Linked DNA regions of Drosophila melanogaster. The protein of the gene in region 3 interacts with the protein of the main gene of each other region in a pairwise test. Each region holds a gene or a part of one and is shown on either strand. Other genes may lie near its edges.

Region 1 (6,330 bases), on a different chromosome or scaffold from region 3:
AAGCTGCTGGCACAGCAGAGATCCAACTGACCACCAAACTGCTGCAAGGTCTGGGCATCGTAATCCTTGAGAGTAACAGCATGTGGCTGAAAGGATGTGGTCTGATATTGATCGGAAATCAGGGGCAACTCTTGCTGCAGTTGCTGCTGCTGCTGGGAAAGTTGAAGTTGCTGTGGATGTTGAACTTGTACTTGTTGTTGCAGCTGCTGCTGCTGCAGGACCTGCTGTTGCAGTCGCTGTTGCTGCAGGATCTGCAGTTGTAATTGCTGTTGCTGCAGGAATCGGTGCTGCTCCTGCTGCTGCTGCAACAGTTGCTGCTGCTGGGGAGCACATGGCGGTGTGTACTGGGGTGGTAATCCCGCAGGCGGTGGGTATAATCCACCGGGATAACCAAGACCTGGTTGTAAGCCCAAATTAAACCCCAACCGATTTGGTTGCGTATAGTTGAAAGCTGGCTCCAGTTGCGGCTGATGGCTTTGCTGTGGCAGGTGATGATGGTGATGCTGGGTGAGCAGCTTCTTCGGAGGCGACTTGGCGCTCACCTGCACCGTGTCGCCATCTACGTCCTCCTCGTCATCGTCCAGACCCCTGGCCACCAAGTCCTCCCTTTCGCAGGCCAAACGCGTGATGAGCAAACGGAAGCCACCGTTGGTTGTCCAAGGCGAATCATCGCTAAGGAAGCGCAGACGCAGGACTCCATCGGGGGTGTGATACTTTTTGATACCCAGCACCTGACCGCACAAGACCTCCATGTCGTCGCCATCGTTGTTCAGGCCAATGGCCAAGTAATCCCGACTGCAGTTCTCCGATAGCTCCAGCTTGAAGTCCAAGAACTGTATGTGAAACTTGGTGGGGCAGCGGTAGGGAGATCGCACCACATAATCCCAGCAGGTGTTCACCGGATAGTTGTCCGGATAGTTGGGCGATTCGACGAGACTCTGTCGCTGCCTGTAAACACCATGTAAGCCGCACTGGGGCAGCTCATCGTGCACAGCTCCCTGGGCTTCAAATGGAATGACACTCAGTACCAAGAGAAGGACTATTGGCAGCTCCATGTCGTTGTTCGTCCGCTGGTAACGCGCTCAAAGACGCAACTAACTCGTTGCGGTTCACGAGACATCGATGTTTGCCTGCCAAAAAATAATATTTTACATGGGTGCGTCGCAGGTTTCACTGGAAAACAATTTGCACTTTTGTTTGTGGAGTCGACAACAAAAGCATTCACTTGTCTAAGACTCTCTCATTCATAACTCGCACTTTAGTTCACTGAACCGCACGCAAAACTTTGGGGCGGACAACATGTTTTCGAGGTGCCAAAAGCTTCATAAAACTACCAATCCATTAGATTAAATTCCAGGCGGTACATCTTTTGGGGATGATTCATGTGGCAGGGGTTCTCTACTCGTTTACAATCATATCATCATCTTCAAGATCATATAGTTTATCATATCAGTAGAGTACTACAATATAATGCATAAACTAAGCCAAATAACTTTATGACGCGTGCTTATGCGAAAGTAAACTTTATTATCAAATTTACTTAACCGTGAAATCAAAACCTTTATATAAACACGAATATTATTATCTTTGCTAAATAAAACTCTCGCTTAACAAACAATGACACTTCAATTCCAACATAGAGTTTATCTTAAGCCAATAACCAAAAACGGAACTTACATAACTTGCCAACAAACATATGAATATAGCTATTTCGGATCGTGGGAGACCATTATGCATACAAGGCACGCTCCTAAAAACCGTGTTAAACAAATATATGTCAAATGTATATCTTAAAAAAGCGCGCACATATCTTTTGAAATATCTTCACCCAGAGTATGTATGAGATTAAACTGGATTAGCACTAAGCCACAGCTTCTGTAGATAGAAATTTTATGCAGAGAGTAGATTATTTGGCTGCTGAGCAATTTGACCACCACAAGATAGCAGAGAACATCTGACATTTTCTATATCCATATAATAAAACTGACTTAACACTAAGCTGAAGTGGTATGTTTAAATCCTCCAGCTAATAAATCGAGACTAAACGCCCTATCTTATAGTGATATATAATAGTATCTATATGTGTATTGTCATTTACTGTTTATGAGTATTTGAAAAAACCATTCTATATTTTATAGGTTAGTTAATAAATATTTTGATATACATATGTAGATTGGCTCACACGTACTTATGACCCACTACATAATAAAATTGTTTTGTTTTTTAATAGAATAATGGTTTATAAAAAGTTTAGACTCACACGGAAATGATAAACTCTTTGCAAATACAGCTTTCATTTTATTACAAATTGCACTCTTTCAGATCTGCAGTTGCTATGCCAACCTTTTATTCCCTTTACTAAAAGGGTATACTAGGCTTACTGAACAGTATGTAACTGGTAAAGTAAAGCGTTTCCGATTCTATAAATTATATATCTAAACTTTTGATCAGTCGAATCCATCTGAACACATTCTGTCACATTAGATTATTCCAGAAACTCAACTTAAACATGTGTATTTTTTAAGACCATTATCAAGGATATTAAAAATGGTCTCCTAAAATTTAATAAACAAAAGTGTCACATCAAATTTAAGACGTAAATTAATATTTTTTTTCTATGGTGAAATAATTGTTATTTTCCAATGTTGTGAAATAATAAATGTATCTTTTCAACGCACACATTTTCAAGGTTTTAATAATAATAGTGACTCGTGCGTGAATAAGAGAGAAATTAAGATTTTAAAAAAGAATAAAATTCAGAGATGTGATCTGTAAAAATTATTTACCAATTTTCATTTACCCCCGAAAGTGATGCTAATGGTTAAAACGGCATTTGCGACTTATCTCCTACGTAATATTGCAAAAATAAGGATTTGGTTAGATGAGTGTGAAGTAAACAAGATGCAAAGTTTTGGAGATAGAAAACATAGCCTTGAGTCTTGGTCATGTTTACTTGGCACCAGGCCGCGATTATCAGCGCTACTAGTCGTAATTTGAGTTAGACCTTTAATACTCTAAGTGAGAGTGATGATATACGATTTCCCAGCCACTTGCTTTCTACGAAATGCGCTAAAAAAAATCCCTAACTACACAAAGATTTGTGTTGTTATCCAGGTGTTCTGATATAAAAGGCGGCAAGGAAATTGATGGCATCATCAGTATCAAAGTGAGAGTGATTGCAGTCACAATGTTTGCCACGCCCCTCAGACAGCCAGCTGCGGCTAACCACCAGACCCCAAAGAATTCCGCCGGCATGGATGAGCATGGTAAGCCGTATCAGTACGAGATTACCGATCACGGATACGGCAAGGATGCGGTCAAGGTGCTGCATGTCAGCCGCAACGGACCCGTGCACGCCATCCAGGAATTCGAGGTGGGCACTCACCTGAAGTTGTACAGCAAAAAGGATTACTACCAGGGCAACAACTCGGACATCGTGGCCACCGATTCGCAGAAGAACACCGTCTATTTGCTGGCGAAAAAGCATGGCATTGAAAGTCCCGAGAAGTTTGCTCTGCTCCTGGCCAGGCACTTTATTAACAAATACTCGCACGTGGAGGAGGCGCACGTTCATGTGGAGGCGTATCCCTGGCAGCGAGTTTGCCAGGAGGAGACCAGGACCAACGTCAATGGGAAGTGCGAGAACGGAGTCCAAGGGAACTGCGACTTCAGCTCCATTGACAACAGATCACTGCACAATCACGCTTTTATATTCACGCCCACCGCTCTTCACTACTGCGATGTGGTTATAAGGAGAACAGGTTAAGTCAAACATAACTAAAGCAATAATATTTAAAACTACTAAATTATCACCTCCTTTACTGTTTTAGATCCCAAACAAACGGTCATCACGGGCATCAAGGGTCTCCGGGTGCTGAAGACGACCCAATCCTCGTTCGTGAACTTCGTGAACGATGAGTTCAGATCTCTGCCAGATCAGTATGATCGCATCTTTAGCACCGTGGTGGATTGCTCCTGGGAGTACTCCGATACCGAGAACTTGGACTTCCTCAGGGCCTGGCAAACGGTCAAAAACATAATCATTCGTAACTTTGCTGGCGATCCGCAGGTGGGCGTGTCCTCGCCCTCCGTTCAGCACACCCTGTATCTGAGTGAAAGACAGGTCCTGGATGTCCTGCCGCAGGTGTCGGTCATTTCGATGACCATGCCAAACAAGCACTACTTCAACTTCGATACGAAGCCCTTCCAGAAGATTGCACCCGGCGACAACAATGAAGTTTTCATCCCAGTGGACAAGCCACATGGCACCATCTATGCCCAATTGGCCCGGAAGAACATCAATAGTCACCTGTAGATCGATCTCTGATGTAGTAAATCTAAATCAATCTAAATCAATTTAGCCAATTCATAATTGCATGCGGCGAAGTTATATATGTATTTTAAATTATTTAAGCAAACGAATCATATGCTGCGTTCTTCTTATTTAAACAATAATAAACTAATAAAAAATAAAGTGTAAAAATGAATAAATCGATTGCAAAACCATATTTCGAGATCACCCTTGCCTTGGCTGAATAAATCCAAATTATATCAGAACTATTTTCTAAAATCCTAAAATGAGGCATCGTTCATAAAAAAAAATATATAAAATAAATTCCACAATTTTCGACCACTTTGGCAGTCAAAATTCGCAATCTAAATTCGAAATTAGCAAATAACCATTTAGCCACAAACAGCGTGACCATGACCAATCGACTGGCCTTGCACCACATCCTGACCACCCAGCTGCGAAGGGACTGGGAACAGGAGGAGAGCGCCAAGACCAGGCTGTCGCAGCTGTCCAGGAGGGACAGGATCAAGGCCTCGCTAAGATCGAGTCAGTTGCCAGGACGTTACCTGTTGCCCGACACCAGAAAGACCTACGACAATATGGTGGCCAATATTCACTCGACCATGAAGTGTAAGCTGTTGTGCTAAAAACTAACCAGAAACTTTCAAAACCAATCAATCATTTACTTAGCGGTACGAGCACCACGAAGACCACGGCCAACGGGGCCGCTGCCCACATCTGGAACTCCGAATCCAGTACCAGTAGTTGCACCACCACTGCCATCGAAACTGGTGTCCAAGCAACCGCAACGCAAGTCGGCGGGGCGCATCAAGGGTGGCGGCAACTCTTCGAAGGCGGACAGTGGCCATGGCATTGCCATCAAATCATTGGCGAAGGTCAAGGCCTGCATCAACCAGAAGCAGAAGAGATCGCGTGGCTTTGAGCAGCACAATCGCATCCGTGAAGTCATCCAACAGAAGAAAGTGCTGGAGACCATGTTGCAGCAGCACAAGAAGCTGCAAAGCGATCGACACACCATAGCGATGGATATCCAGCGAATGCGTGCCGATCTGGACAGGATTCGCAACAAGCTGGACACCTCGCTGCAGAGCCTCAACTCGACGCGCACCCTATTCAGTGCCGCCAACAAGGCGAGTCTCAGGAAGTCGACCGCCCTGCAGAAGCCGACGCAAAACATGGTGACCTCCACCAATCGCCGCTCGGGTGGCAAACGAAAGGCCCGGACCGTTGCCATTCCGATGAACCGGCAAAGTGTGCTGACCAACAAGGCCCCTATTCTCAAACGAAAAGTTCGGTGAAATGCAAAGTAAAAAATGAGAAAAAAAAATGATTTAAACTTCGGCAAAAAAAAAATTATTTTCAAAATAAGGCATAAACTACAATAATTGTTCTTTTCAGTAAAGTATTCTTTCACTTTACAAGCATAAGTACATAGAAAAATTTACTGATAAAATCTGTTACTGTTTAAATCTTTGACATTATAAAATAAATTTAAATTAACAAATTTACAATTTAATTAACAATTTTTTAGTTTAAATTCAAAGCCGTAAAAATCGATATGTTATCAATTGCTTTTAGTGTTGGAAAGCAAATGGCTAATATCAGCGAGACGTCTTACAATTCTCTGGACAAAAGGAACGGTCACACTGCTCATGGCGTCTGTTTTTCGCCAGCGGATTTTTGTTTTTAATTATTTTGCTTACCATTTTCACCGATTTGCCTAATTGTTCGACAACTGGGAGCCTAAGATGGGCTCCTCCAAGAAGCACAAGAAAAACAAGTCGGAGCGACGCGAGAAATATGAAGGTGAGTGAAATGAAAGTGCTGTGTCTACGTGAGCCCCTGTTGCCATAGGCCATCTCGCTCACACATTTTGCCGCTTGTTTTTGAGCATGCCTACACTTAGAAAAAAATGGGTGTACATTATTTGTCACAATTAATACAAAATGCATGGTTAGAAATAATCTACGCGTCTAAAGGCAGTAATAATACTATTCAGCACCCATTATAATACCTAT
Region 2 (10,553 bases), on a different chromosome or scaffold from region 3:
AAAACTTTTTAGTTGGATTATGTGAAGGGTAAGAATGAACGCATACACACACACACACAAACACACACACAGATACCCCATACCCATTTAGCTACTTTGCACCCACACAACGAGCGAAATTCATTTTATTACTTTGATATATTAGATTTAATGGTTAAGAAAAATGTTGCCAACAGCATCTTTTCCCCCACGCACCACATCTACCCCCTCCCCCCCCCTCCACTGGTTCTATTGTGAAAAGTGGGTGTTTGTGGGTTGTTGTCGTCGTCGCAGTTAACCTTATTAAAAGGTGAACACAGTCATGGCACCAGAGAGAATTGCCACAATGTGTTTACACGCAGCTGCTGCCAAGGGGGCGGAGTGGGTGGTGTGGGCGAAGTGGGTGGCATGGGTGTGGTGAATGGTTGGATGGGCTGCTGGCGGAGGGGGTAACACGATAATGACCTCGTTGGCTTCGATTCCCTGAGTGTGAGTGAAATGCCGGGACATCCAATGAGCTTTCACCAGCGTTGCGCATGTCCCGAGAGAATCTCTCGACCAGAGAGAATTCTGCGAGAGGACTCGCAGCTGGAGGATATCTTCTGACTGCCCCCCATTCCGGCCCCAAATAGATGTGCTAATTTAGAAATTACAATGAAGTGCAGTCTTCAATGAGTTTGAGTTTGAGTTTGGCTTTGATTCAATTTGTCATTTCACACTTGGCCTAAATGGCTTTCGGTTGCATGGGGCGGGGTGTTGTAAGAATGGCTCCTACAGCTAAATTAATTGAAAGTGTTGAAGAGCACAGACAAGTTGAGCTTGGATGGGAGGAAGAGGTCCTGTAAAGCGACAATATTGATTCGCAATTACTTACACTCAAGCGCATCAAATTTATAATGTGCTATTGTTGGGTAAGGCATTTGCCTAATAAAAATATATGTACTGATGATTTTCCAAGACTACTATTTAGCCTTTCTCAATCACCCATCAAAATATAAACCATTTGATAAGAGATTACCTAACGAATTATAGCTACTTAAGAACTAATTCCTCGTATCTTCAATCCAAAATGGGCAATCAGATTGCCCTTGGATAAAAAAGGGCATGTCCTGGGCTGGATTGAGGATCGGCAATTAGTGAGGAAGGAGCCCTTTTTTCTTCTGTTTAGCAGTCCTAATGAGCCGGCGATTACGACTAAGTGCGCTGATGATGCTGCATAAATTTTGGTGGCCGGCGAGCACTATGCATTCCACATTAGATTAGAGATTCCGAGGCTGTATGATCTGGGCAGGAACGCAATCCTAAGTCTCGAGAGATGCCCTCTGCAGCTCTAAATTAAACGAACATGCAATCGGATTGCTGAATGAAATCTGCATAGGGAATGCGTCCTATGAAAATATGATTAAGCGCCTCGGCAGACTAAACCTAATCCTGCGTCCTGTTGAGTCCCCGTGTCCTGTGGCGTCATGCATCTGGCACATTAATGAGTCCGGTCAACGCTTTGTCCCGCTTACTTGTTCACAGTTTTCGCGGAAATTACGTGTGCACTTTTCCCGATTTTCCCGGCTGAAGGTGCCGCGATCCTTGGCTTTGTTTGGGTTCGGGGCACAAAGGAATTGTGTAAGTTTCGACAAATTAGAGACCATAAATCCCGGTCCCTGCTTTGTTATCATTGTAGCCGGCGTTTTAGCACACCATGTATCCTTCGGGCATTAGATGGTTTTTCTTTTTTCGGGAACCACTTTTGGCCATTTTTGGCATCCTTTTGTGTTATGCAACCTGTGGGTGGACCAGGGTTCTGGACTAAATCTTGGATAGAGAGCCCTGTCTAAACTGAAGCTCAACGCAAATCCCAGATCTAAGTGGGTGATTTAAACAAGGCTGAGCTATTTTCGGTTATTTAATCGTAGCAAAACCAGGGCCTACATATTTTTAGATCCTTTTTGGTTGGTGCTACTTAAAATATTACATTTTTATCATTAAAAGGAAACATGCAGAAAATATAAGATTGGTAGGAAATCTTCATAGTATTTAGATAAATATATGTATTAAATTTATTTATGTATTATTATTATTATGTATTTATGCACTGGCTATTAATTAAAATGATTTGAATACTCATTAGTGAAATCAGTTCCGCACTGTACCTGTTGCTTTTAACGAAATTCAATGCGGCCGAAATCCTTCGAGATGAGATCAGTTTAATCAATGAACTTAGGTTTCGATCCTGCCACAGTTCCTTGCTAAGTAAAGGGATTCATTGATCGTTTGGCTTGTTCAATGAAACCACGGGCTCATTCTCAAGATCACGGGGATCCTGGCCATAAATCTATCGCCGAAATGGAAGCGGAACTAATAAAAGAGGACCTGGCAAATGGCCGACTTGATTCAGGTACCAGTTTGGCAATCCCGTGAGTGGTTCAACCTGTTTTGTGATTTGTGGATGAGCCGGGAAACGGGAGGGAGAGGAAACTACTGTGAGAGAGAGTGAGATATATATAAAGGAAGAGGGGGAAGGGTGAAATAGTTTTTAACAAGCGAAATTTGTGAAATAAACACAATTAATGAGCAAACCATGTTAGTTACAACTACCGAAAGAGAGTGCATTAAATGGGTAGGAAAGAGAAAGGTGTCAAGGAAAAGTACCAGAGAGATTTGAAAAGAGAGACAGAGAGAGAGAGAGAGTGGAGGAGGCCAACACCCCTAAGCCAAAACCAAAAGCTACCTGCAACCCAAACTCACACACACCGAGCGAGCCAACCCAACACACAGATACACGGCACTGAGATACTGAGATACTGGGGGAAACTACCCCTACAGCAGGAGAGAGAGGGAGAGAGCGAGCGTGTGCGAACGAAAGAGACGGCTGGCATGGCAGGACATGGGCGAAAGCGAAGGATTGGGAACTGTGATTCCGATTCGGATTCGAGAGCGAGCGAGCGAGCCTCGCCCATTTCACTTGCTAGCGAAAAACAGGCAACGTATTTAAACCTACGGGCGGCAGGAATCGCACTCAGTCGGTGGTTGTTGATCGTCACGAGCACTACTCACTCGCAGTTATTCACTCGATTCGATTCAGCTCATTGCAGTTCGTCGCAGTGGCTGTTCCGTATTCCGTATCGAAATCGCATCGTTTAATCGACAAATTTACCCGATAATAGCAATTAATTAAGCTAATTTTCAAAGCGTGCTCAACAAATATTGTGACATTAAACAAAAGTTGCCAAAAACGAAAATCTGGAAAATCGCTAACAAAATAAGAAAAAACCAACTTGTAGCAAGTGAAGTAAACCAATAGAAATCCGTACGGATCGCGAGTTGCTCTTTTGGTGGAGCTATGATGACCACGACGACCTCGCAGCACCATCAGCACCATCCAATCATGCCGCCAGCCATGCGCCCCGCCCCCGTTCAGGAGAGTCCTGTCTCACGCCCCCGCGCCGTCTACAGCATCGATCAGATCCTGGGCAATCAGCACCAGATCAAGCGCAGTGGTGAGTTTTAGTTTAACAAATATAAACTGGGGATAACTTACTGGAATGTAAATGTAAGGGGATCCTTTTTACAAAAATTCATCGTTTGCCGTCGGCGATCTGCGTTAGAGTTTCTTAGTACATCACACAAAAAGCTTAAAAGGAAACATAATCAAGATACAATAATTGCATTTTCTTAGAGAATCTTAATAAATTGTTTAGCTTAGTTTGATTTAAAAAATCCAATATCAAAATTAATTTGTGAATAGCTATGGGCAGGCGTAAACGAATTAAAAATTCTAAATTTGAATGTATAATTTGAATTGATTACGACCTATTTAGTTAGTCTAGCTTGTTAATTACAGCTTTGAAATATTTCTCACACACATCTTAAACATAATGAAAACATCCTGAATGCGTTACAACTTACCACCAGCAGGGCAAAATATCACGTTAGACTTCATGCACAGCCAATGGGCTCCCCCCCCAAATTTGGTGCTCCAAAATCCGAACCGTCCTCCTACTCCACTGACCACATCAAATAGATCCTTTCGCAAAGGAGCCGGAGCAGTGGAGAGGCAGATTGACATTGCCATCCATATCATATGCAAATTGCTCGCAAGGGACATTTTATCATAGTTGGGAAAGGTGAATGAGGGCAGTTCAAAACTTTCCGACAAACACCGACCTCGAACTCCACCCAGAGAGCAAAAAGAAAACATATCATGACAATGGGAGTTGTTCGGCATGTCGGAACTCTTGTTGTGGGCGTGGCCAAGCTGCAGGAGGCAGTTCGCCCAAGGATCTACTTGAGAAGAAAAAAAAAAACACTGTATCAAAACATATCTGGCCGGATATATCGCATGGAGAGCGGGAACGGGCAATTGCGTCATTAGACCCGTAATTAGATTGAAGTCCTCGGGAGAGGTGGAGGCTGGAAATTGCCTGGGCTGGATTCAGTGGAATCACGGCACCCATTGGTCCAGGTTGCAATTTGGCGACAACGAGCGGCGTGCGCACCGCAGGACACTGCATCCTGTGAGCCTCGTAATTTGATGCTCGCTGGAAATTACCTTCTTGCCACATGGGTCTGCGTAAATGTTACGAAATACGATAAGGATACAACCAGGACACGGGCGTCCTGCTGAGCGGGGACGTGTCCTGGTGCCATTGTGAATCCGATTAATTTGAGGTTCATTAAAGTTTGATTACACGTTTTGCCTTGGCTCGAAAAGAAACCGTTTTGAGTACTCACCAAATCGTTTCGTGTGAAAGGATATTTATATGCTCGCTGCCGTGGTATTGGGGTTAAAACTTATTCCGGCTTTATATTTATTTGTTATTGATTGCCAAATCAATTTGCGTAGCTTTCGAGCACTTGAAGGATTTGAATTTTATTCGAGACTGAGACCGTACAAAAAAAAGGGGGTTAAAATTGAGGATATAACTACTTCAGCCACAATTGAATGAACTTCAATTTCTGCAGCTGCCGTTTGGCTTTCGATTTTAAAAGTCAAACGCGAAACTTTTTGTTTCCCCACACACTCGAGTTCAATTCGAAATTGTTTAACTTTATTTCCCTGCCACTTTTTGTTTTTTATCGCAGATACACCCAGCGAAGTGCTGATTACGCATCCCCACCACGGCCATCCGCATCACATCCATCATTTGCACAGCAGCAATAGCAACGGCAGCAATCACTTGTCGCATCAGCAGCAGCAGCAGCACTCGCAACAGCAACACCATTCGCAGCAGCAGCAGCAGCAGCAACAATTGCAGGTTCAGGCCAAACGAGAGGACTCCCCAACGAATACGGACGGCGGCCTGGACGTGGATAACGACGACGAGCTGTCCTCCAGTCTGAACAATGGCCATGATCTCAGCGATATGGAGAGGCCGCGTAAAGTTCGAAGGTGAGTGCAGCGACAATCCGCTTAGCAGATCAAATCGTATTTACCCATTGTCGGGCTATTAAAAAACATGCCAACAAAGAGGAGGGGGGCAAACTCTTATCCGACGTATCTAACGTGCCGCCCTTGCCGTTCCTTTCGATTTTTCACAGATCTCGCACAACATTTACAACATTTCAATTGCATCAGCTGGAGCGAGCCTTCGAGAAGACCCAGTATCCCGATGTTTTCACAAGGGAGGATCTGGCCATGCGATTGGATTTGAGCGAAGCACGCGTGCAGGTAATTGAAATTGGTTTTCGATTCGCACAATTATTTTCGAATTAAGTTGCAGTTCAACTCGCTCAAAATGTATCTGTATTTTCATCTAACGGCTATGGGCTTTAAATATTGCCATCGCAGTGTCCGCTAATAAGCGAATAAACCACTTTCAGAGTCTGGGAACTTGAATGGCTAGATAAGAACGGGCAAAACAATCGCCGAACCCAATTTGTAAATGGTCTTTGAAACACTTAAGCCCCACTTTGTATACAAACACGCTTAGTTCGTTAGTCGGAGGAGGGTTGAATACGGGTGAATACGCGTCCCTTTTTCTCTATAGAGGGTTGGCACCAAGGACATTAGATATTGTGATTTTCCAAATGATTAAATCGTCCGCGCTCACATGGTGTTGGTATTTTTATTAACTCTACTTTCGGGTAAACAATTAAAGTGGCTTTGGGTGCTGACTGGCGGCAGGACACGCGGCCAAATATACCCGACTACACATGTAATTAGGGTGTCCTTTCGCCCCGAATCGCATACGATTTGATTTCAGTTGTGAAACGCTTTCAAACACTTCACATCTGATTGAGCGATTCGCTCAATTTCGATGCTGTTTGTTGACAGGGAATAAAAAAGCAGGGAAAAGTATGGCCTGGCACAAAAAGTGAAAAAAAACAAGAAGTGAAGAGAATGTGAATGTGAAACAACTTGACCTAAGCACTCACATAGGGATTACCCGCTTCGAATACAAATTGTCCGTTTCACGGTCGTCATCCGCATGCTCACATCCTCACATCCGCATTCTCATCCTGCGCGTCCTTGCACTTATTCGTATCTGTTAGCAGATTAACTGTAATTGGTCATTGATTCGCATATGCAGAGCGTTTCGGGTACTTGAATAGTAACCGACTTAGAGCTGCCCGATTTTAATACATGTGTTATTTTTTTTGCTGAGCTGCTGATAGATACAAAAGTATCCAAAGCGTAATCCCCGCTTGTTTTGGGGTTGGTAAGTGAGCAATTATTTTCGGATTTGCATGCTCGTTGTGTGGGGCATTTGGTGAAAAAAAAAGGAGTAACCAGCGACTTATCTGCCGGGTTAAGTCAAATTTTTATTGTCGAGTTGGGGTATCGAAAAAAGCGAAAAAAATATTGAAAGCGAATTTGTATCAATCTGGAAATTGTTGAAACAAAGCGTTTTTGAACGCTTTATGCAGTCTTTTTAATTGGAATATATGCAAAGAACTTTCACATTTGAAAATCCAAAATAACGAATTCTTATACAATTTTTTAAAGTACACATTTTTTTTTTGAGTTTACAAACCGCCTCTTCCAGTTTTTGCGACAGTTTCTTCTCTCGTTTTGATCGCACATGTGTGATAAATGCTGAACGGATATCCGCAATTCAACTTTTACTGCCTGGCTGCTCTGGCACAGTGGTTTAAGTTGTTGCCATAATAATTGCTGCCAACTGACAATTAAAAAGCCCACAAAATCGCACACACACACAGCACTTATGCTGTGAAGGGGTTGGGGGTGGTGGGTGGCGTTTTCTCAGCAGAGACACACACAGGACACAGGACAATAATTGGCAGCAATTATAGCAAGGAAATCGTTGCTAATTTACTACTCGCTCAACTGCACACATTGTTGCAGATTGTGGGTGGCCGTAGAAGGGGGTTACATCTAAATACAGGGTGTCTATAATTGCAGAGCCTTCTCTATTGTCTCGAATTCATCAACGAGCGTTACAGACAGTTGTCAAGTGATTTCAATTTACAAACAATTAATTTTGCCATCAAAAACGAGAGCCTCGGCTCGGACTGAAAATTCGTCGCCCCCAAAAGGCGGAAATGTATGTGCAGCCAACGCCTATTTTGTGGATGGCCTAGGGGGCACATTTGCATAGGGGTGAATTTGGGTGGCTGCGAGTTTGGTCCACCCCAAACCCAAGCAAGTGTCGAAAAATGCATAAGACACCCTTTTGTCCGACGAGCGAGACGGGTAGCGACAGACAGAGAGCGTTGCAAATCAGAGCAGAACACTTCCGATTGGATGCCATTGTATTTGACCTAACCCTCCACGGCGTCCAAGTCCTTTGGCTCAGACACTCGAGGCTGGAGGCGGCAGAAGGAGCCATCCAAGGACCAAGTGCTTCCAACTTTGCGAGCACACAGATTGATAGATTGGGAAATTGTTCGGTTTTTGGTCAAAGTCAAAGCAATTACAAGTCGCTTGCCAAGGCGCTAGTTTTGTAGAACTAATCAAGTTTAGATCGAGGGATAGATACCCTTTAGAAAAGTATGCTGGTTTTTGAAAAGTATACAGGTTGTATACATAAGTCAGAAAAAGGCATATCCTCTCTTCGGTAAATGATATATCAGATAATTTTATGTTTTTTATTACCCCTTTAGCTTATAATAGCCTTAAATCCGAGGGCACCCAAAATTTGCATACCTACAACTCCATCTCTAAACTCCCTTCTTTTTCGTGCACTTGCAGGTGTGGTTCCAGAACCGTCGGGCTAAATGGCGCAAACGTGAGAAGTTTATGAATCAGGACAAGGCCGGTTACCTTCTGCCCGAACAAGGTGAGTTAACCACCCCCATCTCACGAATCCACCCCATCAAATCCCAGCCATCACCCACCCAACCAGCGATACGCATTTGATTTGTCCGCAAATTGCCAAATTACGTGTGCAACATAATTAGGAATTATGTCGCTTGTGTCGCTTGTCTCACCACCATAACCACCGCCACCACCCGCTCTCTCTGACTTTCGACTAACGAAATCGCCCTTTTGCCTTCCGCTTGCAGGTCTGCCGGAGTTTCCGCTGGGCATTCCCCTGCCGCCACATGGACTTCCGGGTCATCCGGGCTCGATGCAGTCGGAGTTCTGGCCCCCGCACTTTGCCCTCCACCAGCACTTTAATCCCGCTGCAGCCGCTGCCGCCGGCTTGCTGCCCCAGCACCTGATGGCGCCCCACTACAAGCTGCCCAACTTCCACACCCTGCTCTCCCAGTACATGGGCCTGAGCAATCTGAATGGGATCTTTGGCGCGGGAGCAGCTGCAGCAGCGGCGGCAGCATCGGCCGGCTATCCGCAGAATCTATCGCTGCACGCAGGACTCTCTGCGATGAGCCAAGTTAGCCCGCCGTGCAGCAACAGCAGTCCGCGCGAGAGTCCCAAGCTAGTGCCTCATCCCACACCGCCGCATGCCACGCCCCCAGCGGGCGGCAACGGAGGCGGCGGACTGCTAACGGGCGGACTGATCTCGACGGCCGCCCAATCGCCGAACAGCGCGGCAGGTGCCAGCAGCAACGCCTCCACACCCGTCTCCGTGGTCACCAAGGGCGAGGACTGAACGCTGTTCCGTGATATTTGGATTCGTTATGTACATATATAGATACACGCATACTTGTAGATATCTAGTTTTATTCATGGTCACATAGCCCACGCACTGTAAGATATTTGCAGCTTTGTCGATTGCCAAAGTTAACGTAGTTGTAATGCCTAAAGAATTATGTATCTGTAAGCGATCTTCGAGCGAACATTTTGGTAGTCTATCCACTAAGTTTAAACTGTCGAGAAATAAACGATATGAAAAGATACTTGTTGCGTTTTATGGCTGGTTTGAAGATATGCTAAAAAGTAAGATAGATTGTTGATCAAAGAAATGAATTATTTCACTATAAAGATCTTACGTCAAGTGATCTTAAGTTATCACACAAAACATAGGATGTGTCGTTTCTTTTGTACATTCCTTGTAAACAGGTCTTTCAAATTTTCTAGCCTTCTTCACATATTTTCATTTTCAATGCCAAAATTAATCTCCCGGTTAACTTCCGTTAACGGGAAGGACTTTTATAATTTTCCACAACATACATACATACACCGATCTACCCGCCGCGCGGCAAATTAATCGCAAAAAGTTTGTACCTTAAGTAGGGCTTATGACCCTACAAAGATCCATTATGAATCGCTCAAATGCTACAATTGATTGTGTACAAAACTCGACTCGACCTTTCCTTTTTGCCAGAGTCAAATGAAAGCGATCTTGGGCCGAATATCGAGGATATTCGACGACCTACCCCGACAATCGAAGAAGGGGCCAGAGTTCAAATCGTATAATAATCTCGATATTATGTCAAAATTGCCGAGCGCAGGAAATGTTGCATAACATGTGAAGAGCAGGACAAGGAGCAGGAGACCAAGTAGACCAAGGAGCCGGAGAACAATGGGAATCCAGAAGGAATCTATCGCATTGTGCCAGACAGCCGTGTAGGAAATGCAGCTCTATGGGCTGGATGTGTCGAAGCCGAAGGATTCGCAGCGTATTCAAGTGGTGGTGGCTGCACAGAGGAACCAGACCAAGTCCTTTCATTCGAGGCCGCATGCAGAGCTAAATGCTATATTGATATCTCGTAATTTGTGCCATAATTACTTTTTAATAATTTCGCACAGCGCTCGTCCGCGCTGCAGGATATCGCATTGTGTGCGCGATGGCCTCAAATTTAATAATAAAAACGCCGTCAAGTTCCTGTTCGTTCGATTCTGTCTAGATTTTCACCGAGATTCGGATTCGCATTCGCATTCGGATTCGGGTTGCAATTTGATTACACTTACCACTCTCAGTGTTTTTTTTGGGGATGGGGCGAGGTCAGAGCCAAATTCCCTGCACAAATAATAATGAGCGAAATGCGCGACTTAACGGATTTGTCGCAGTCAAAAGGATGTGCCCGAAAGGACGAAGCAACCAGGACCAGTCAAAAGAAGCTCTCATAAAACTCATATGCAATTGCCTTTTGTGGCCGTCCTTTTGTGTACAAGGTAGCAAAAGACATCCGGCGAATGGAAGGTCCTGGCGACGAAGTTATACCCTTTCCTATCTGATTCTTCCAATCGATAGAACTTGGTATATTTAACC
Region 3 (7,611 bases):
GAACTCTTGGGCCACGTGACTGGCCACCTGCTGCTTGGCCCTAGTCGTCGAGCGCTGCGCGCTGTAGAGGAATGCTGCCTCCGGGTAGCTCACCAATCCTAAATGCTCGTGACTCTTGTAACGAAAATGGGTTATCTATGTTGCAGTGGTCTTCAATACTCCACCCTTACCTGATAGGCCGTGTCGGGCAGAACCAGTTGATCAATCTTCATCGCAGGATACGGCTTTCCAAAGAGGCTAATAAAGAAGACAATAATCTGCGGTGTTATGCTAATGGCGTAGTCTCCCTGATCCGCGATCTTCGGTCGCAGCCAGGTGGTCAGCGCGGGGCCTTTAGGAATCTCCGCGGACGTTCGATTGGTGAACCGGTTGATGGAGAAGGCCAATTTCTGTACTGACATCGCTGGGGTCTGCTGAAAGGTAGTCCATACGTAGTCATCCTTTTCATGGCTGCCAAAGGAAATTAAGTAATGCAGATATAGTACATGATTATATATACAAACTCGGAGGTCTTGAGTACTCGCATGTTGCTCACGGCATTGGTACCCCTGGGATGCGCCAAATTAAGAATGAAGGGAGCGAGGAACGTGCGATTCTCGAAACAGGGAAAGACTGTGTTGGCCAGATTAGGAGCCAGTTGCGTGACCGCTATCCACTGCGGATGATGTTTGGAATCCATGTAGCCGCCCACAAAGTAGCCACTGGCGCGGGACAACTGGCCACTAAACTGGACAACCAGCGTATACTCCTCGCCCAGCCAGAGCATACTATTGAACACGATGCCAAGTTGGTGGACGCTGCTAGCTTGCCACATTTTGCGCACCGTCACCCGACCACCGGTGTTCCTCCGGACTAGCAACACGTTTTCCCCCACTTGTAGGCCATTATTACTGAGGATAATCGTGCGAGTTTCTCGCCACACGCGCAGCCGGATGATAACCTCGCCGCTGAAGTTTCCACTCAGTTTCAATGGTTCCACCTCGGTCAGCAGACTGAGATTGTAGTGCAGAGGACGAAGGTTAGACGCAGTTGCCCCAGTACCACCTATAGGCAGGCATAGGTGCAAAACAATCAAGTACCAGGGCAGCTTTATCATTTCTGACGGGCTGATTTAGAATGATCAGAATTCGATGGTCAGAATTCGACACACTTGATCGCTTTGAACGGCATGACGACTGCTCTCCCGAAATACACTCGGAAACGAATATTATTTTAAATTAAATACAAATGGCTTGATTGGCTTGATGTACATACATATATAAAAAAATGACAAAAATTGTAAAAAATTGAGATGCAGGATCGTTGTAAAATGTAACGGTCTTGGGGTGGAATACGGAAAGTTGTCAGTTGATTGTCGTTTTTGACCAGTAATCAAAGTAGCTGAAATATATTTTTAAAATGTACCGTATTATAAATAGTTAACTTCGCTTAAGGATGAACAATTTTAGCTTTATTTAAAGCTTTACCATAAAGATATTTAAAGCTTTCGTAGCGCCACCTGTCTGCCACAAATGAAGACCCACTGCACCCTTGCAACCAGCTGAGTGGTAAGTTGTAGGGTGGATTTCGATTACGGGACTGCGCCTGCGCAGGGGTGCCTTTCTCTTGTCTTGCTCATCGGCTCTCTCGTGTACTGTTATTCTCCCGCCTGCGAGGTTAACACGTTTGCAAATGTCAAAGCCATGACTTCAGCGTAAGTTCCTCGTCCGTTTTAGTTTCAGTGTGTTCTCAGCATTTGGAGCACTTCGTTTAACCAATACGGTGCGCACACAAACACGCCAAAAACGCCAATTAAACAGATATACGATAATAAACAATATTATTTAAAACCTAACCGAATTTGTGTAAAAATCGTGGATATTAAGGGCGTTTACGGTAAATGTAAACGATTTAATTTCAATACATTCTTCCGAATTTGTCTTCGATAATTAGAGACTTAAATTAAATTTCCCCCGAAAATTCTGCGGCCCATAAACGCGCGCGTGTTCGCCTGATTTGCCAATGTGTTCGTGCGTGTTTCTTTTATGTGTGTGTGTCACTGTATGTTCCCTATGTGGGTTGTTGTGCGAGTGTGTGGCTGAGAGAGTACTTATTATGTAAAGTGCTCATCTTATTGACAGTTGTCAGTGGCTAGTTGCGCTGATTTCCGTGCCGATTGCCTTTGACCAACTGCCAAAGTCGGATGGCTTCAATTTGCTAATTAATCGAGTGCGAACGCACTTAAGTATGCTCCAGCGTTTAGCGCACGCACACACATGTACAAGCATATTGTGTGTGTCTATTTTAGTAGCAACATGTCTTTGGCAATCGTACCATATTCAAGCAAGAGAGAAAAGAGAGAATGAGAAAGTTTGGAAAGAGCCCTCACAATTTACAAATTTTTATTATTTTGACTTTCCTCTTCACCCTTGTCATCGTGCAAGCGTTCTTTTGCCCTTCGAAATGTCAAAATATTGCAGACAAAAGTCTGTGCTCTGCACAACATTGCCAGTCTGAAATACTTCTTCCGTTAGTCACATGTTTCCAACAAGCTGTCAAGCTGTAAAGAAAATTTGATGGTAGTGCATGGTGTCCTGTGCAACATATCTGAATGTATTCATTAAAAATAGCAGGCGATATTTTAAATCTTGTTTCATTAATTAATTGTGTACATATTTATTTGCTTTCTGCTTTGAATTGACATTGCCAGACTAAAATTGAATGTCAATTCAAATTGACCGCCACTTGTCGCGTTCCCCACATGCGCCACTCTCGCTCTCTTTAATTTTCTCCTTCCCTCTCTTGTTCTCTCTGTTGACTATGGGAAACAGTTAGGTTAACATACATAAGTTCTGTTAACTTTGGTAGCTTAACACTTGTACCCTTTGCGTATTATTAACCCATAAGTAATTCGAACTTAACTTTATGACATATAATGTATATGTTTAAAAAACAGTCTTTGGATTTGGAGAAAGACGTTTCATTTGTATTCTTTAAGTTTTGCTAATTATTTTTACGTAATTATTGATTGTAACTATTTCAAGGAAAGTAATTTTTGTCTTAAGGGAGAAGAGGAACTATTTTTTTTTTTGAATGAAGTTCTTTCATCGTCTAGGACTAAAATACAAACAGCTGAATCAATGATATTAAGTAAAGCAGATGTCACGGATGTAGTGCAGTTAAGGGTTAACCTTAACATCATCCCGCTGTTGCGTTAACAGCGCGTAACGGGACTGCCGCTCTCTTTGTCCAGCCCCCCTCCGATCGACCAACACATAGACAGCGCTCAGTTGCTGGTCTTGTTTGGCTTGGTTTAGTTTTAGTCCTTCTTTGAACGTGCTGCCGACGAGTCACGAATTCGCAAGGCGTACGCATGGGATACCGACTCCCCACTCTTCCAGTCACATACTTTTTTTTCCAGTGTTTGTGCGCCCAGTGTGCGTGTGCGAGTGTGCGTGCGCGTAGATGTGTGTGTTTTGATGAGTGTGCAAACAGCAGGAGGAAGCGAAATAAGAAATAACACAAACCCACGCTTAATATGTATTATTGTACTCAACCTTCTGGCCATTTGCATGTGATGCGAAGCTATGTGCTTACAGCTGTTTAATTGATTCCCCGATTGCAACTCTTCGCGATCTCCGCTTTCGGTTTTGAGTTGTCCCGTTGAACCGCTAACTGTTTAACCGTTAACCGATTTGCCGTCCTGTGTGCTTGTCGCTCTGTCAAAGTGTGTGTGTGTGTGTTTATTTTGTCTTCTTTTAGTTAATTCATCGTGTAGTTTCTCGTTTTTTTTGCTGTTTCTCCTGACAAGTGATATTGCTCTCTCGCTCTGAGTCAGCAGCGCCTGTCAAGCGGAGGGTTGTTTTTTTTTCCCTGGCCAGCCGCTCCCCCTCAATCACCGCACCCACCCCCTTCGCTCAACTTTTGCGCCACGTTGCCTTCAAAACTTCATTTCCAACCACTTGCCGTCGCCGTCGACGTCATCGCAGCCATACAACAAACCACCGAGACACCACCCCCACCAGCACCCCCCCTCATCTGATCCCGGTGTCATTGGCACTCGCTTACAGTTTGTTTAGTTTGCTTTTAAGTTGTGCGTTGTCTGCAAAATGATAAAACAAAGTATATAATAATAAGGACCAAGGGGCATGGCAAATCAGTTTACGTTAATTTTGTTTTCGTACTGCCCAAATAGAAAGAAAACCAATGCAAATACAAGACAATAAGTGAACTGAGAACCGCTGAACGCTAAGGAAAAAACAAAAACCCAAAGAAATAAAATAAACGTTGCACCCACCACCGCCTCACGCTCACCGCTCGCCCGCTAGTTTAAAGCTAATGCCACCGCCCACCACCACTAGAACTACTACTTCCACCACAACCACTAGTACCACCACCACCAAGAACCACAACCACCAACTACCAGCCTCGATCTGAACCACTTCGCAATCAAATAACAAGAAAAGAGTTAAATGTAAAAGAAAGAAAGGCAGAGTCCAGATTCCGAGTCCACTTGTCCAAAATGTCGTCAAATGTTGAAAAATGTGAGCTCCACCAAAAAAATGCATTACTAGATGTGTTCGTTCCCGTAATATGTGCATTTAGCATCCCTCTAGAACCTCTAGCGTAGCTCTATCTATTTCCTCGATAAAAAATCAAAAGACGTAGCGCCCATTCTCTATTAAAAAAATAAAAATAACTTAATAACTTACTAAGCAACCATAGAATCATTACCCGATTTGTCTTGCCATTTTTACCACTTTAGATCTAGACTGTTGACAACTATTAAAAATAAACCACACTCATTTTTGTTTTATACTAGCAAATAAGAACTATAACTATACTTTATATCGGTCTGCCTCTCTCTTTCTCACTCTATCTCTGTCTCTGTCTGTCGCTCCATCTCTGTCTGTCTTTCTTGTTCTGTCTAGTTAACATGCCTTGAATCGAACTTTTATCCACTCTGTTAACTTCTCCTGCCTAAGAAAACAAACTTTCCCACTCGAGTCCTTGAAATTTGGGAAGACCGACTGAGAATAACATCTGAAAAAGTGAAGTTCTCAAGATGGTTCCTGTGCGTTGGCACTCGTTAAAACTTCCACTGATTGGCTGGAGTCCCGATTGTAAATAGAAGCCCCATTTCTACCAAATCCTTGAGTTTCTATTAGATGTTCAACCATTGCCTGCTTCTTAACCAACCTGCATGCTCGAGAAATCATCAAATAACTAAAGATTATCGATTTATAATTTGAGAATGTTGAACACACACAGACACACACACATAATGATTGGGTCGATCGGTGGATCAAAATTACACATTCTATTGTACGTTATCCCCGTAAAGTTACATAATATCCGTTCCATTCCGTTTCGTTTCGTTTCTCGTTCCTCGTAGTTCCCAAGTTCGTTTGATGCGTTCGTTCCATCGTTCCTTCGTTGTGTTTGCCAAGTTAAATTTTGTTGTACTCGAATTCCCAACTGGCCAACTAAACCAGAGTTGGAATTCGCAATTGGCAGCCAGAAGCCAAAACTGAACAGAAAACCAAACAGCAGCTACCAGAAACAAACAACAATATAAATTAAACCTTAACCCAATCTAAATATATATATATTTATATATATATATATTCTTCCAAACCTAAAGTGTGTCTAATCACCAATTCTTAACGTCAAATTCTCTTTAAACTAAATAATCCACACACGAATCACACAAACCAAAAACCGAAATCAAAACCAAATAATCGAATCGAAATCGAAATCGCAGACCCAGGCAAAATTCGCATTGACCACCAAGCATATGAGCTTGTGGCTAAAGGTAAGCTATGAATAGTCAATATTTCAATGTTTATTTGTGAAAGGAAATCCGTTAAATGGAGAGATTATTACTATCAATTCGGCTGCAGTGCAGTGTTATGAAACATTTAAATTAAATGATTAGCTTTAATGATTTACACGCCTAAAGTTTAAGGTATACGAGTTTATGATATTTTGGAGTTGTGTAAATCGAATACTTTACACAGCAATGGCTTCAAGGATCTTTTCATAGAACATCTGCTAACAAACAACTGTTAATGAATATCCACGGCATCTATAGTTTTTATTGACTTTCCATAATGAACTGAACTCTTCTGAATAAGCCATGAATAATTTCCACTGCTGCCCTTATTAATAAACCCTTTAAAGCCTCAGCTGGTCGTTAAAACGGTGCAGCAGTCGCTAGTCTGGGAAATCCCCGATTGGCTCAAGGGAAATTCCCTCTAAATTATTATCTACGGTCCCTTCCTGGTTCCGCATTGATTTGTCGCATGTCCGGATGTTGTACGTTCCTGCCCCTCACACATCTTGCCACATGCAACTATTCATTTTCAATTATCCTGTTAAATTAATGCCTTGTACTACTCGTCTGGCCCATTCTCGACTTCCTTTCCCAGCTGCCAGCGCATCATACCCACATATCCTTTGTCTGCGGCATGATTCAGCTCAGCTCAGCTCAGCTATCTGTGAAAAGTTTGTTTTTTTCGCCCGTTGCTTTTGTTGCTGCTGGCCTGGCGACAATTTCAACGGCAGACGGCGGCTTGGCTCTAAAATATTGGTTATTAGCATAGCCCGGGGGTGTTTGAGGTATAAACAGGGGGGTTTGGGTGTATAAGGGAAGCTGACAAAGCAGCCAACGCTTTTTGTTGCCTACTTTTTGGGGTCAGGGACTTGTTTTGTCAGCTTTCAGAGGGGCGAGCGCCTAGCAAATTGCCAGACACACACAGAATCGAGTGTGGTATGATGGAGGGGCACTCTGTATAGATAGAACCCGCTTATACATCTATTTATCCGCTACCCACAAGTTTTATTCAGCCCCCTGCTGCCGCCGCTGCATCTTTTGTATTGTGAATCATAGCCAAATGCATTCGACGCCATGCCATCCCATGGCCAATGGGGCTGACAATGCACAAAGAGCCAGAAGAAAGATGAGTGGGTGGTTGGGTGATTGTCGTGGCTCCACTCGCTTAAGCCACCCATTAGCCGCCAGCCTGGTTGCTGTCGTCATCGCTCTCCCTCTCATCATCATCGGCGTCATCATCCTGCCAGCCCAGCTATCCTTTTCATCCTTGTCCAGCTATCCTGGCCTTCCCAGCCATCCCGCCATTGGCCACTGACAATTCCGGCTTTTGTTCAATCGGTTCAGTTCAGCGCGAGCTAATTTAGCGTTAATCGAAGTGTATTTACCCTGGCCACCCATTCCCACCATCATCACCATGAACACAAAACAGCCCTATTCATCGTTCACTCTACTCTGATTGCATTAGCTTGATGGCTGCATTGGCTTGTCACTAATTAATTTTGAATCCTTCAATTTCTTTGCCAATTCCCCGATACCCAGTCAAAAAACCAATGATATTAATTGACTAGTTGGGGTTACAATCAGCAAGGGAGCTAATACTCCATGAAACAGAAATTAAAACTCGTGCTTAAAATCTACAGAGTAACAAAATCAACATCAACTAAAGGATGTACTTCGAATACTGACAACTGCATCTGTGATTGCAACTGTTGACGAAATCCTTTGAAATGTTAAAAATGTTGGCCACTTTAAAGAAAGAAATGCTTTCCTCGAAACATGCACAGACTTACATGAGT
Region 4 (7,648 bases), on a different chromosome or scaffold from region 3:
CAATGGAGGTGGTTGGGGTATAGGATTAGCATTGGCCGACACAAAACATGGACATCGACATCGAGAAATCGCTTAATTAAGTTAATCAAAATATGGCGATTATGGGGCTAGCTTTGAATGGTGTCCTGCATGTCCTTTGTGGCCATTGTTTGCCTAGTGCGTTTGCACCAGCAAGCAAATAAACAAGTGTCCTGTGTGTTTTTGTGCGCATCTCTGCTCTATTTGTATTATGACAGCCGTTCAATTGATGCTGAAATTAATTAAAATTTTCCCTCGCATGCTCATGTGCGGCTGTGTTTGTGTGTTTGCCACAGGACTATCTGCCTGAATTGTCCTTTGGCCCAAGGCTAAGATAAATTACAATTTGCCAGGACGTTGTGAATACAACTGGAAACTGGTAATTGCTTTGCATGGAAATTGTGTGTGTAAAAACAGCAGTAGGAGTTGGCTAAAATAAATATTCGACTAGCTAATGGGTTTTATACTAAGCCAAATATTTTTGCACAGCTTTGTTGTTTCATTTATCTAATTCGCTTGTAGTTTCAACTAATGTTAGTTATTTCAACATATTGATATACTCAATAAAACTGTGAACCTCTCTTATTGAATTTTCCATAGATATGTAGAAATTTTTCCTAGTCAATTGCCACTGTGCTTGATAAACTGCCAAGTAAATACTGTATCTCTACCCGACTGGCTTTCAATTTCTCAAATATTTCTATATTTAATGGACTCCAGATTAATTCCATATTACTTTATTACTTGCCGACCGGGTCCTTCTCCCTGAAGGAATAAATACCTTCGTCCTTTCAATTAACTCGAGTCTGGCCAAATAATACCTATTCTCATGGCACCGACCCCGAAGTCGGAAAAGAGCAAAATTCGAGCAGGTCCTTCGAGTTTTTGGGCGGAAAGTCTTAAAGGCAGCCGATGGGGTTCGTTCTAGCATCTAAAATAATTTAACCCTTTTTTTCCCCTTCTTTTAAAGTAATTTAATGCCTCAGTTACGAGGGAAGCCCACACATTCCGCAGAGAGACGGCCAATTCTCTCGTCTGCCATTGATGCCGCTGGCTAAGGGGCAAGAATAGATTCGTTGCTACATGGGGAATATTCCGTGGCACTTATCAAAGGCAGCAACAATTTAGGTTAAATACTCATTAATATTCCGGTCTGCCAAACTTTTTCCTACTTCGCCGTGCGGATGGCCCTGTGTTTTTGCCCTTTGCTTTCGGTAGCCGCCAGGCACGAGGGCCAAATACAAGACAACCGATCCGAGTCCTTTCTCGAATCCCAGCCAAATAAATAAGCACACGCACATGAAGAGCCGAGCCGAGCCGAGCCAAGCACACAGGCAAAAACATACAGCAGAAATTAATTTTGCGTAGCCTACTTTCTTGGGCGAGAGACCAGGAGCAAAACAAGCGACCCAGCAATTTCCCGGGAAAATGATAATTGCCTGGTAACGCAGTCTACATAATGCATAATTTATAAATTAAGCAAACTTGGGCAAAGTTGGGAAACGAAAATTATGGCACACGACTGGGAGCCGTTTTGCGAAACTGGCATTCGAATTGGGCCAAAAGCTGTAACAGATATGGGAAAATATTGTATTTATATTTATAAATAAAGCTCGAATTAAAGGCACTTAGTGAATTGTAATCCATATTTGGGTACGCGAAAAAATCTGAAACTCCGACAGAATACAGAGGTACGATTAATTTACCCAAAAGAAGAATCTTTCGCTGAAAGTATTTAATTTTCTTTTATTGGATACACCGCACACGAGCAGAAGGCAGCCAACCCACTAAAATGCCAATATATTTTTTGTTCGAAATTTATTGCATACTTTCGAGAGTAGCGTGGGAGCGGGCGAGAGGATCTGCGCGAGCAGGACGGCGATACAAGGACACGCGTGTTGTCGGGATTTATTTATTTACTCCACCATATCCTTCATCCTGCATTGGCGGATTTTGTGCGCTGATAAAAATTTTGACATGCCAAACGAGGGGAGCAGCCGGGAAAAGAATTTCGGGGGGGGGGGGGGATAATGGAAAGCCCGAAGAGGATGTAACAACAAAATGACAGGATATTATTCAATTGAATTCGTTTACATGCATGAACTACATAATAAAAATGCCCTTAACCAAAAAAGGAGATCCAAGCGTAAAAAACGCAAATTGAACAGCGGCAACATGGCCGCACACACACATATGTACATATGTACATACATACATACTCGTATATGTGCTACCTCCGAAAAATATGAATAATCTTTTGTATCATTTGTGGCCGGGCAGAAATGCTTTTTTGTGGGCCCACATTTATATGTTTGCTTTTTGGGGCAAAGTGTGGGAAGCCCCTTGTTAAATGCGCATATTTTATGCAACAAAAACATGCCGCTTGAGCCATGCCCCTGAGTACTCACTTGTATTCAGAGCCACGACTCGAATTCATACTCATTTCGCTTAGTTAGCCAGCCCGAGGGGAATCCCCGGCTTGTTTCTCGTTTCTTGGCAGAACATTTTCCACTAATTTGTTGGGCTGAAAGCAGCGGAAATTGTTTTGCGTCTGGCACAAAAGTTTTGCTCATACGAATTCCCATTTGATGGCTACAACTTATTGGTGAGATAAGCAAGAGTTATAAATTATAGTTGGCAAAAGTTTTCGGGAGGAAGTAATCAATGCATTACGCATAAGCATGTTTGAGCGGATGGAACGATTCGGGAAATGCCTTAAGTTATCTGCCAGTTTAGGCCAATAAATGCAAATCAGGAAATATGCTAATCTGGCAACTAAAGTTTGGTAGCGATTAGGCAGGATGAGCAAGGGAATTAATTCAGAGTGTAGATTTAATGGAAATTGTGTTGCCACAATAACTCTACTACTTGGAATATTATGTGTGAAATGTTACCAAGCTTAGTTATTCAACATTTGATTTATCAATAATAACCGAATTATATTTCAGTCTATTCTTAGCTCATTTTGATTCAAAGTTTTAAGTCTTAGTAAATTGCTTTGGTGGCTTCTTCAGCTATCAGCACGGACTTTATCCATTTACTAATGCCGAGTATTTATGTATCTTTCTGGGACAAGTCTGTCTCCGGAATGCAGATTCCCAGTCAAGTCTACGTATCAATAAACCAGCATTCAGGTGAATCCAAGCCTGACAACCAACATTCTGGCAAGCCTTTGGACGAGCCATTCAACACCTGTCGGCAATCATCATAAATATGCCCGGCTCCCAAAACATCTCGGCCAAGTGAGTCGGATGAGTTAAATGCAACTCATTACGGGATCGCAGAGCTATACAAATGTCGTGCATTCACGAGCTGGCACTTCTGTCTCTGTTGAGCAATTTTCTATGGCATATTTGCAATTGCAGGCCGGCTGAATTGCACTTGAATTGCACCCGTCTCCGCCTTTCATCCACATCCATATCCACCCACTCGGAGCCCAGAACCCAGAGCTTGTGGCAGCTGCACAAACAGAGAATGCCAGGCAAACGCAGGAGAGGATAGGATGGATTGATGGACGGAAGGAAGGAAGTCCATGACCAGGATAGGTTTTTGCACCAGTTGTGTATTTTTATTCGAGCTTACCTTGTGCATGGGTCCACTTGAGCAGGAAAACGATGAATACGAAACGTAAATCCATTTTACAATTTTTTACAGTATTTCGCCTTAAGATAAACTGGCTAAAAAAGCTGAGCACGAGCACTTATTTGCCCAGCCCAACTCCTGGCACACACACACACAAATACACACCGGCACACAGACACAGGGGAGCGACTCCCGCAGGGATATAAAGATATATATATCTATTCGAGTTGCTTGATTTTTACTCGACTTCCATTCGCACACTATTCGCTACACTTCCCCTGCAGTTTAGCAGTTTACAATGTATTTTGCGGCCGCAGTACTTCCGCTTCCTTTTTGGCCAGGCCAAATTTGGCCAAAGTCTGGCCCTCGCATGTCCGTTGTGTCAATTAGCTGATTTCCGAGCAATTTCGCACTTCGTTTGTTTATGTTTGCTGCCAATCCAGTCGCCCACGAAGCTGGCCCAAACAACTGGGCACCAAAAAAGCTCGACACGCGCTCACTTTCAGCTCGATAACCGTTGGCGGCAGTAACCAAAACTCAACTGAACGGCGTCCCACGGCCAACTCGATATGGGGTTCCTTCAGATCCGGAGACCGGGAACAGTCCACAGCAATGTTCGCTGGGTGGTGAGTTCCGGCCTTCGGAGCAGCTCGGCCAGTTCGGAACTCGGGGAACTGGGGAAGTCGGAAGAGCAACATTTCGGAGTAAATTCCTGCAGGCAAATCAGCTGTTTCAGCGGGGAAAGCTCGGGAAAACGAAAAGTAATCGAATTCCGTATGATAAGGAGGTATCATCATATAAGAGGCTTTCTGTAATGTTTGTAATGCTATGTGTTTCCGTAAAGTACAATCATACTAGTAAATTTTATAACAAAATGGCAGCCTTCTAATGGTAGTTTGGTGTTTATCTTATATCAATAGGGTTTTTAAAATTTCCAAAAACAAATAAATAATATTGAAATGGCTTCTCAACATTGTAGTTTCTGGTCTCAGTCAGGTTTGTTTATCATCACAGTTGCGAGCATAAACATTTGTTGCTGAATCCTGCCGGCAAAAGTGGTGAGTCTGCGCACTGGCCGAATAAACAACATTTTCGGAGTTTCAACCGGAATTCCTTCGCTCTCTGAATGCTTACAACATTGTGAGAGAATGGTAAAATATATTCACTGAATGAGAACCAGAAAAGCAGCGAGTAAGTTTGAATATTTCGAAATAGCCGTTAAATGCCGATGCAGATAAGATATATTCCAGTTGCACAGTAATGACACTCCTAATAGATGCTGATTACAGATATCAATGTCATGATTGAAACCTATTGTTTTGCTAATATCAAAATAATTAATCATTTCAAGTATTACTTTAATTTGATAGCTTTCATATCCTTCTACATATTCATCAATCCCCTGACTTTATTCACATGACTTCGAGTTCTTTGTTTTCCCCCGGGGCATTAGGCACTTCAACTTGCTGCTAACCCGCATTTGAGGGCAATCTGCTGAATCGAACCAAACATCAGTGGCATAGTTAATTAGGATCTCGGGAGCCGACATCGTCTTTCACCTGCTGATTCCTGTCGTTTGCAGGCACCGCAATCAAAATTAGCTCAGTGGCTTGCGGTGGTGATGCATTTGGGTCCCCGCGCCCTAGGAGTCCCCACCACATCATTCCTTTCGCCCCCATTCTAGATCGCATAAACAACAATTAAAACGCTACAAATTGCACACACAAACATCCTTCAAAGGATGTGACCCATTCCCCGCTACCCGGCTTTTCAGTCCGGTAAGTATTCTCTTTTTGCCGTTCCCCGCTGTTTTTCTCTTTCTTCAATTATTTCCGATTATTACCAGGAGGAACTCAATGGAAAAGCAGGGGGAGGGAGGGCGAGGGATGGATGGCTGAGGTCGAGGTGGATGCTTCAAAATCCATGTTAATTGCTATTTTGCTCCCATTGGCTTTAAAAATCCTTGCAAGAAAACTAACAACCTGGGGGTCAGATTTTCCTGATTTGCCATTCATTCTACGGCCAGGACAATAACAACTCCGAGGGAATATCCTTGCTGCTCCCCTAGTACACTTTCCTCTGCTTTTACTCGTGGGAAAAGGGAGAACCGGAGAACAGACAGAATGGAAAGATGCGGGGGGAGTGGGAAATTACACTGGCGACCCAGTAAAGTAAGTTCCGAAGATAAACTGCAATCGAAGAACGTTGACTGAATGATAAATTACACTTGACAATGGACACCCACACATCCTTACACCCCCACACATCCACTCACACTCTTGCAGATGTGACGCGTGTGTGGCAGGACTCCACTGTCCAGGACTCCACTTTTCCTCCAGCTGGCCTTCTTTTGCTCGTTTGTCATAAGTTTACTTTTAATATAAAAGTTTCCTCGCTTTGGTTATGTTGAAAAGTGATCATCGTGATAATTACACGCCCATAATGATGGGGCTTGTGCACAGTGGGTCAAAAGCAACTATAAAGGACATAACATATACAAATATAAATACAAATTATGAGTTCCTTTACCAAATCATGTATAAATTAAATAATTATTTATAAATTTACCAATCTATCATAATGTCTAACTGATTGCAGCACTTATGCGCGCATTTGTTTAATTTTAAATGCATTTATTAGATGACAGATGAGCCGTCTGTCAACCCATATTTCATAAAAAGTTGAAGGCACTTTTCGCATTCCTTGGCAGCGTGGTTTTGGGCGTCAAGCTGGGTCCGTCCGTCAGGGGGCGCCACTGCCACCGTGCCCGAAGATTTATGTGCTCATGTGGTCAGAGATACGAAGGACCCCCGCCAGGACTTCTCCAGCGCCAGCTCCCCGTTTTCAGTTTCTTGAGTGCCAAGGAGCTCGAGTGTGTTTGTCAGCTGGGTGGGGGAAATGGTGGAGGGTGTTCTGGTCCAGCGAAGGGGGCGGGGTAATTATGACGGTTGTGGGTGGCAGCTGTTGTGATGCTGCTGCTCGAGAAGCGGTAGCCCAGTTCCACTCATTAAGGATATCCGTGCAGGAAAACAATGCCAAAGCCAGCACTCACCCGCACACAAAAGCCGTTACAGTGTAGCCGCAAAAGGGAGACGGCATCCAGTTTTCCCGCCGCTATCCCCCCGCTTCGCTTCGCCACCGAGTTTTCCCCGCTTTTCCCACCGCCTTTCCACTTTGCCCCTCACGTAATGCATTTAGTGGCTGCCGTTTTTGAGCTCTGGCAGCTCGCATTGTTTGCTCTTTGGCCTCGCCTCTCGCCACCCAGACAAAACAATACAAATTTATTTTGCCGCCACGCCCACAACACCCTAAAAAAGGGGCGAAAAGGGGGGAAAGCGGAAGAGATTCTTTTCAGCCAAGGCGAAGCGACGGCCCAGAACTTGAGCAGTGCACGGAAGTTCCGGTTGAGCCGGCGTCCTTCCCCTTTTGCACTCTCTCCTCGGGAGAAAAGTTTTCAGCCAGGAATTATATCTGAAAGTTGAGCGGTGACAGGGCGGCCGAGTGATGCTGGAGGGGGTGTGGCAGGCCGGGCCGGGGGATCGGTGCCCAAAGGAGTGTATAGCACACCCAAAAGTGTTAATTCATTTGCCTTGGCATAATTTTATTCATTCGGGTTTTGCTGTTGAATTAAAAGTTTGGCCAGCAACTGGCATAACAAATTATAAGAAAATTGTACGAGGTAAGTGCTGGATTCCAGTGGGATTTATTAATGTTGGCCCAAAAAAACAACTGGTTAAATATGGAAACGAACTAGGGATAAATATCCATATCCATTTAGAAGATAAACTATATTTTAGATTATTTTTCAGATTCTCTGACACTATTTGACAACACCCAAATCAAATCAGAAGTAAATCGGAATGTCCAATAGCTCAGACAAATGATCAATGGGCAAATCACTTACCAGGACTCTGGGAGGAGGAAATGCAAAATGTTTTTCCACTCTCTGGCTGCCAGGATGTGGAGGAGAGCTTTTCCAACTCTGAGTGTGATTGATTGCGAGGGAAACGTAATTGAAATGCCGCCAAGTTCGGCGGAGGGATGATTT

Evidence for each region.
Region 1: the proteins of X11Lbeta (region 3) and CG7164 interact in a two-hybrid assay, tested with the Drosophila melanogaster proteins (one large-scale study listed by BioGRID).
Region 2: the proteins of X11Lbeta (region 3) and hbn interact in a two-hybrid assay, tested with the Drosophila melanogaster proteins (one large-scale study listed by BioGRID).
Region 4: the proteins of X11Lbeta (region 3) and robo3 interact in a two-hybrid assay, tested with the Drosophila melanogaster proteins (one large-scale study listed by BioGRID).

What each region holds. Positions count from the first base shown.
Region 1 is NT_033779.5:7,776,931-7,783,260, forward strand, and holds CG7164 (uncharacterized protein), read left to right. Parts: upstream 1-4,534; 5' UTR 4,535-4,704; coding exon 4,705-4,921; intron 4,922-4,981; coding exon 4,982-5,610; 3' UTR 5,611-5,830; downstream 5,831-6,330. Other genes in the region: CG7179 (uncharacterized protein), read right to left, coding at 1-1,055; Uro (urate oxidase), read left to right, coding at 3,188-3,761, 3,831-4,315; Brd7-9 (bromodomain containing 7/9), read left to right, coding at 6,061-6,118.
Region 2 is NT_033778.4:20,953,351-20,963,903, reverse strand, and holds hbn (homeobrain), read left to right. Parts: upstream 1-2,994; 5' UTR 2,995-3,316; coding exon 3,317-3,473; intron 3,474-5,058; coding exon 5,059-5,365; intron 5,366-5,514; coding exon 5,515-5,644; intron 5,645-8,128; coding exon 8,129-8,216; intron 8,217-8,442; coding exon 8,443-8,990; 3' UTR 8,991-9,236; downstream 9,237-10,553.
Region 3 is NC_004354.4:10,626,015-10,633,625, forward strand, and holds the start of X11Lbeta (X11Lbeta), read left to right. Parts: upstream 1-3,302; 5' UTR 3,303-3,401; intron 3,402-4,159; exon of another isoform or gene 4,160-5,374; 5' UTR 5,375-5,794; intron 5,795-7,611. Other genes in the region: CG9806 (uncharacterized protein), read right to left, coding at 1-114, 171-450, 504-1,096.
Region 4 is NT_033779.5:1,252,898-1,260,545, reverse strand, and holds the start of robo3 (roundabout 3), read right to left. Parts: upstream 4,130-7,648; 5' UTR 3,656-4,129; coding exon 3,601-3,655; intron 1-3,600.